2 linked regions of the Coturnix japonica genome follow. The protein of the gene in region 1 purifies or fractionates together with the protein of each later gene. This does not show direct contact. Links are inferred from orthologs where the notes say so. Each region holds a gene or a part of one and is shown in the gene's direction. Other genes may lie near its edges.

Region 1 (3,647 bases):
TGTGAAGTATGGCAAACGTATCCACGTGCTGCCAATTGATGACACAGTAGAGGGGATCACAGGGAATCTCTTTGAGGTCTATCTCAAACCATACTTCCTGGAGGCATACAGACCCATCAGGAAAGGTAACAGCACTTGTTATTGAAGTCCTGTTTATGTGCTGTAGTTCTGAGACTGAGTAAAGAAAATTTCTCTGCACTTGCACAAACCTACAAGGCATCAGACTGGCTGGTAACTGTAGAGTGAGATTTTACTGATGCTGATATTTGTTCATTTATTTTGCTACAGTGAATGGGAGCATGTTAACTAAGTTGCTACCACTTGACAGGATTGGGTATTTGCTTTTGTGCTTTTGTATTAAGCAATTGGTTGGATATGCCAGATGACACCCTAATTAAATTCACTTCTTGAAAATAATTCAATCAATAACTGAAAGAGTGCTTGGAAAACCAATTGCACTTTTAGAGCTATGCTAGTAGCACATCTGCTGGAACAAGAAGGTCCTAACACAGCATAAGTGCAGGCTGAATAAAGTTTTCCAGTTTCTGTGGCCCAATTTAGTCAGATATGTATTATCCTACTAGAAGCAAGCAGTTGTTGCAACTAGTAACAACTTAGGAAGATAAATTCAAAGTAAGTTTTTTATTATGTTAGGGATTTTTGCTCCTTCCCTTGTTGCTTCTGGATAGAATTTCTTCTTTGAGCTGGTAGGTGGTAGTAGGACATTCAGGGATTGACTTTGCACTTCTTTGTGTGCACTGGAACAGCCACTCCAGAAAATCACCTGTTTGGAGCAGTGGTAGCAAAAGCAGTGTACAGATGGTGGCTGGAGTGAATTTCTATAGTGAAACAGTCAGCAGTAGCTGTCCTCGAACATAAAGCAATGGAAGTCAAAGTGAGGCAGTTGGAGAGCTGTATGAAAAAACACCTGTTTTGGGATTGAGTCTCATGTAGCTCTGCATATTTCTTGAAAACCTTTGGTTGCTCAGGGTGGCATACCATTTCAGTATGCCTTTGGTTTCTCCTATCTCATGGCTTTTCACTTGTGGTAGCACTGTCTACTGTCCCTTAGGCTATACACTACAAAAGAGCTGACTGCTTGCAAATTGATAGCTAGTTTCTAAAGCAGACAGAGAAAAACATGAGAATCTTTCTTTTGGACCCTATTATTAGTCTGTTTGCCTTTTTTTTTTTTTTTTTTCAGCAGTATCTGAAGGGCTTTTTCTTTTTTCATAAACAAAAGGATTTCTAAAACAGCTAAATTGAAATTGAATGGAAAATAGACATGATTAATTATGTTTAATTGTTTGGTACTTAGTTGGAATATTCTTTTCTGTTGTTTTCTGTTTTTTTCTGCATGAATTTGAGAAAATTAAACTGCTACAGGTCTTAAGTGATGTCCTGATAGTCACAGTGTGTGTAGCTCTCAAGTCTGAAATGCAGAGCAATATGAAAAATGCCAGTGGCATATATATGTATAGCCTACTTCCTTGTCCATTGAGGCTGCTGGATAGCACAGGAATTGACATTTTGGAGGATGTCAGTTGCAACAGGATACTGAATTGTGGGTTTTCACAGGTGACATTTTCCTGGTGCGTGGAGGGATGCGTGCAGTGGAGTTCAAAGTGGTGGAGACAGATCCAAGCCCTTACTGCATAGTGGCTCCAGACACAGTGATCCATTGTGAAGGAGAGCCCATCAAACGAGAGGTGAGCAGGATCTTATCACACAATTCTTGTACTGACTCCAGTCTGTCCTGTGAAATCTCTCTGTGACAGTGTTTTCAGGTCTGGGAATGGCATTTTATGTATTGAATGAACCTCTGGAAGCTCTCTTTCCAGGGGATGAGCTGATGCTGGCAGTAGTTGGAGAAATGTGCTTCCACTGTCCTTCAGATACTGGGATTACACTAATGCTTAGGCCATAATTTGGTAGCAGCTGGTTTTGCATCTGTTCCAGGTATCTATTGCTGGGCATTAAGTGGAATTTATGGGTATTAAATGTATCATTTAACTCCAAAGTTCCCTTGATCCATAGCAGGAAGGCTTAAACGTGTTGCTAAATTTCATGCCACGTGAGGAGACAGCAAGTAATGCTTTTTGAGTGAGATAATTGAGATTTCTAAACAGTTGGTTTTGTTTTAACTTTATTTCAAACCCTTGAGATATCTAACCTTGGTCATCCGAAGTTTAAGACAGCCTGAGCAGCTGGTCCATCAGGAATAGGCCACTTTATTTTTATAGAAAAGGAAATCTCAGGAGTAGGGATAATTTGGCCATGACTACCTTTTAACTAGCTGCAAGTCAGACTGGGTGCTGTTCTCGGCTTAGCTCCTCTCTCTGTTCAGCAGTTATGGGACACTGAAGGAGACCTCTTTGGGCTTATGAGGACACCACAGAGGCAGACCAGGAGCAGGTTCAGCCAAGGCTACCAAAATGATGAAGAGCTGGAGGTCAAAATAAACGAGATAGGGCAGCCTAGAGTAGGAAAGGTGCAGCAGAAGGCCTACTGGCAAGGTGGAAAGCTTTAGGCAGCCTGACTTTTCTGAGAGCTGTGACCAGGGACAGGACTAGAGGCAGTGGCACAAGCTGAGTCAAGAGAAGTTCCAGGCAGATACTAGGAAAAAGTTTCCCAAAGCCTACAGCAAAGCCTAGAGATCTCCTCTAAGATTCCAGGTGATGTTAATTAATGATTTTATTGTGACCTAATGTTATAGTGTCCTGGTTTCAACTGGAACAGAGTTGATTTTCTTCATTGTGTCTGATATGGTGCTATGTTTTGGCTTTAGGATAAAAACAATGTTGGTAAATTCTGATGATAGTTGTTGCTGAAAAACACTGTCTGGAGCCAAGGACATTTCAGTTTTTTAGCTTCAGGCTGTTATGCAGCAGGGTGGGTTCTGCTGAGAACCCCCTGTGGGGGTCCATGGGGTGGACCCTGTCCATGTGGGTGTCTCCGGGGGTTTCCTATGGCAGGGAATTGCCATTGAATGTTTGGGTAGTCAGAGCTAAGAAACAAATGTGAAAGACATGAGAAAGACTTGAAAATGAGATTCTCAAAACAACAAAGAAATTACATTGAGCAAAAGCCCAGACTCCTGAAACTGGGAAGGGATTGCTGAACCATTGTTTTCACTCAAGTGTTTAATGCATTTCCTTCCTTGTAGGATGAAGAAGAGTCATTGAATGAGGTGGGTTATGATGACATTGGTGGCTGCCGGAAGCAGCTGGCTCAGATCAAAGAGATGGTGGAACTTCCTCTCCGACACCCTGCTCTCTTCAAGGCCATAGGGGTGAAGGTAAGGACCTGTGTGCATCAGGTGGATGAGTGGTCTTGCTTTTGCTGATGGCTCATAATCTAGGAGGCTTAGGACATACTGGAGGGGAATAAGTAAGAGGAATAACTTGTGTGTTGTTTTTGTCTTTTTTAGTGCTGGTATGAGGGGAGAATTTCCTCACATATTTTACAGATTGAAGCACTGGCACCTGTAAAACAGTGGTGTTTTGAATAAGTGCTGTTGGTTACTGGCTAGGTTTTTGTTTGTGTGTCATGTGAAGCAGTCAGGTTGTTGATGATAGGATGGCAGCTGTTGCATGAGGTTGCATCATGATTTCAGAGTGACTTTGTCAAAATGCTTGTGATTTCAC
Region 2 (3,747 bases), on another chromosome or scaffold:
CTTTGGCAGGGCCTCCATGCAACAGCATCCCTGTCACACTGCAGGAAGTCACCATTGATTTGAAGCGATTTGGAGACAAAGGGTTTAGGATAATCTATACGGGAAGAATGGAGGAAAACCATTCAGGTTTTATGTAGGTATTGATAGGCTTATAATAGTCTTATTGTTCAATGGAACAGGTTGCCCAAGGAGGCTGTGGATCCCCATCCCTGCAGGATTCAAGGCCAGGCTGGATGTGGCTCTGGGCAGCCTGAGCTGCTGGTTGGTGACCCTGCACACAGCAGGGGGTTGGAACCAGATGGTCATTGTGCTCCTTTTCAACCCAGGCCATTCTGTGATTCTATGATGAAATAATCCTTCAGACTCTACTTTTACTTGTCGGTATTCAGCACAGATTTTAACTCATGGCCTGTTTTGTTCTGTTCCCGCAGAAGTTCCATCACCCATCAGTAGCAAGTCTGCATCGAGCTCAGTTCATCTGGAACCTGGCTAACGTCCCCCTGCTGGATCAGTACGTGGGCGCCTTGGGCCAGAACCAGCACCGGGCTGTTGTGGAATGGGTCATCCAGCAGTTCAGGGAGGAAGTCACGCCCAAGATAAGCAGCTTTCGAGCTTGTGAGTGTTTTATTCTCAATCACGTCACAGTTTGTTCCAGGAGATCGGGGTCGCAGCCAAGGAAACACCTTAGTTATTAGTTATTAAGTACCGTTTGTCGCTCCCGTGTAGGTATCAACCACGGGGACCTCAACGACCACAACATCCTGGTGGTTCCCTGCTCTCCGCACGGGGCGACCCCGCGGTACCGCGTGTCGGGCGTGCTGGACTTCAGCGACATGAGCTACGGCTGTTACGTGTTCGAGTTGGCCATCGCCATCATGTACATGATGATCGAGAGCTCCGAGCCGCTCCGTGTGGGCGGCCACATCCTGGCGGGCTTCGAGAGCGTGCAGCCGCTGTCGGCCGCGGAGCGGGCCGCGCTCTTCATGCTCGTGTGCGGCCGCTTCGCGCAGTCGCTCGTCATGGCGGCACACACGGCGCTGCTGTACCCGGAGAACGCCGAGTACCTGATGGTCACGGCCAGGACGGGCTGGAAGCACCTGACGGACATGTGTGCGCGGGGCCGGGAGGCGGTGGAGAAGGTGTGGTTCGATACGGCCGCGCTGTACGCGACGAGAGGTACCGCCCCGTGAGGCGGGGCTGCAATAAACATGGCGGCGCTGCCATAAACATGGCGGAGCCGCGCTCCTTCCGCACAGCGGCGCCATTGGGACCGCGAGGTCACGTGGGGGTGACGCACTGCGCAGGCGCGGCCGCCATTTCCGACGCGCGGTGCCGGTGCCGAGGTTGTGCAGCGCCCGGTGTAACCGCCCGTTGTTCCTCAGCGCCGCTTCGGCACAGCGCGATACCGGCCGCTGTGAGTGAGGGGGGGGAGGGAGCGGGAGGGCGGGTGAGAGCAGGGGCCGAGGGGCGGGCGGTGCGGCCTTGGTGCCCCCTTCGGCTGTGTGAGGATGACTCCGCACTCCGGGCCCGGGGCGCTCGGTGCTGCAGGCGGGGATGGGGCGGGTCGCTCTGTGCTCGGGGCCGTGTGGGATCACCCGGCTCACCTTAACGCGCTGTGCTGTTTTGCAGGCCCGCTCCGCGCCGCTCCGGCACCATGGTGAGTGTGTGTGTGTGAGTGTGTGCGAGGGCCGCGGGTGGGGGGGCGGTACCGACATTGCACCTCAGCACGGGGCTGTTGTGGGGCCGCCTCGGAGCTGCTCCTGTTGGGTGCGGTGTTGGGGAGGACGGTGACGGGCCTTAACGAGCTGTTGCTTCTTGCAGTCTCGAAGATATGACTCCAGAACCACCATATTTTCTCCGGAAGGTACTTTGTAACCCTACGCTTCTAATTAAACCGTCTGCCTGCCGTTCCTCCTCTCAGACGTAACACGTAAATCCCAGGGCCGGTTGGTTGCTGGCAGTGTGTGTCCATCCCCGTGTGAGTTGCACAGACCGTATTCACCTGTCAGAATAGCCCTGTGTGCACACCACAGCCACACAGCGAAGGCTTCCCAGTCCTCATCTAATCCAGGCATCGGTGTGATCACACCCCATTCACACCTGTGGATTTGCACCACATTCCACTGCTCAAAGAGTTCCTTAATAAGTCACTGCCCTTCACCTTTCCTTGGAGCATGGATGGATTTTGTTACTGTTCTGTTACTGTTAGTGCTGCTGTGATTTGTTACAAGTCATGTTTTTTGTCTTAAGAGACAACCTGTCCAGTATCAATGATTCCATTGTTTTTTTTAAAGCCCATTTTGACTTTCTTCCAAAGTACATCTACTCTTTAAACTGTAATTCTTCTCTGCACTAATTACACCCATGATTACCTTATCAAGATAGGGCACTTTTCTGTTTCTGCACTTGTTTCTAAAAACTCATTTGCTGGCCCCAGCCCAAGGAACGAGTCCTAAACTGTAAAATGGGCATCTGTGTAACTCCTGCAAATTCACCTTTCCTTATATATGGTCTCATTCAGTGCTGCCTTATCAGTGTTGTGATGTAACTCGTTTCCTAGGCCGCTTGTACCAGGTGGAATATGCCATGGAGGCAATAGGGCACGCAGGTACTTGCTTGGGCATCCTGGCCAACGACGGCGTCCTGCTGGCTGCAGAGAGGCGCAACATTCATAAGCTGCTCGATGAAGTTTTCTTCTCAGAAAAAATCTACAAACTGAACGAGTAAGTTGCAGTGATGTCTGTCTGGCTGCTGGTGCTACCTGTGCCTAAGTACTGTTGTTACTCAAGCATTTTAGCACTGAACCTGGATTTGTTTTGTTTGGAGGGTTTGTATGAGTTTTATGCCGTGTTCCAGGCATCCAGGGCTGTTGTATTGTTATTTGCTTCAGTGATTTTTCTGAAGAAGCATCATGTTTTTATTTCCGAAGAGAACTTCTTATATGCAATAACCTGTTGGTACTTACCCATACCGGGTAATGATATTACATCAATATTAAATTGGCAGTTCTTGGTTTACAGAATAACAAGAGGAAGGAAATAGAGAATGCACAAATCCAAGCACTGTATCAGCTCAGCATTCCCTTTTAAGTCTCTTTTTTTCTGTTGTGATTCAGAGACTGAAACAAATTGGATAAAACCTGCTTTGGCTTATTTTGCTGCAGCTGTAGCAGAGATGCTTATCTCACTGCTCTGAGCTTCTTAGCTTCTCCAGAAGTTCAGTGTTACTCTGTCTTGCCTGTAGGGGAGGTGGAGCTTCAGCCTTGCTGTAAGGTGCATTGTGAAACACGAGCAGTAGGTTTTCATCTGTCAGTCTCCCATGCTGTGTTATCCTGAAGGCAGCTGGAGCTGGATTTTCAAGGAGGTGATGTAAGAAGTGCACTGGAGTAGCTGCCCAGGCCAGCTGTTCTGAGGAACTGCTAAGATAACAACTGCCAGTTATGGTCTGTGTACTGAAAGCTCTGTGGCAATATGAGGTTTGGCAAAGATCTGCTAAATTAAGAGCTAATAAAACAATTACAACAAAGATGAATTTTCAGCTAAAGCAGTTACTTTTCTAATGGCTGGTATCACTAAATTATGTTCATATGAATGCAGTCAGCAGATTGCACTGAGGGTCCATATGGGTTCTGATATGGTCAGCGCCTGGCCTCTATGTGGGTCCTGCTGTGTAGCCAGTGCCTCTTGTGAGTGTCAGCACTGTTAATCATTTTGGTATGGTCCTCAGCTGCATGCCAACGATGTGCTG

The links. Proteins that work in one complex are often made in the same cells at the same time.
Region 2: the proteins of VCP (region 1) and PSMA4 fractionate together in Homo sapiens (co-fractionation; 5 studies listed by BioGRID, with this or other methods). This does not show direct contact. The link is inferred for Coturnix japonica from reciprocal best matches to the Homo sapiens genes VCP and PSMA4.

What each region holds. Positions count from the first base shown.
Region 1 is NC_029547.1:7,825,140-7,828,786, reverse strand, and holds part of VCP (transitional endoplasmic reticulum ATPase), read left to right. Parts: coding exon 1-125; intron 126-1,578; coding exon 1,579-1,709; intron 1,710-3,166; coding exon 3,167-3,298; intron 3,299-3,647. UniProt on the Homo sapiens protein: Necessary for the fragmentation of Golgi stacks during mitosis and for their reassembly after mitosis. Involved in the formation of the transitional endoplasmic reticulum (tER).
Region 2 is NC_029525.1:2,860,036-2,863,782, reverse strand, and holds the start of PSMA4 (proteasome subunit alpha type-4), read left to right. Parts: upstream 1-1,296; 5' UTR 1,297-1,414; intron 1,415-1,629; 5' UTR 1,630-1,654; coding exon 1,655-1,657; intron 1,658-1,821; coding exon 1,822-1,864; intron 1,865-1,886; exon of another isoform or gene 1,887-1,978; intron 1,979-2,560; coding exon 2,561-2,723; intron 2,724-3,747. Other genes in the region: HYKK (hydroxylysine kinase), read left to right, coding at 432-615, 727-1,190. UniProt on the Homo sapiens protein: Component of the 20S core proteasome complex involved in the proteolytic degradation of most intracellular proteins. This complex plays numerous essential roles within the cell by associating with different regulatory particles.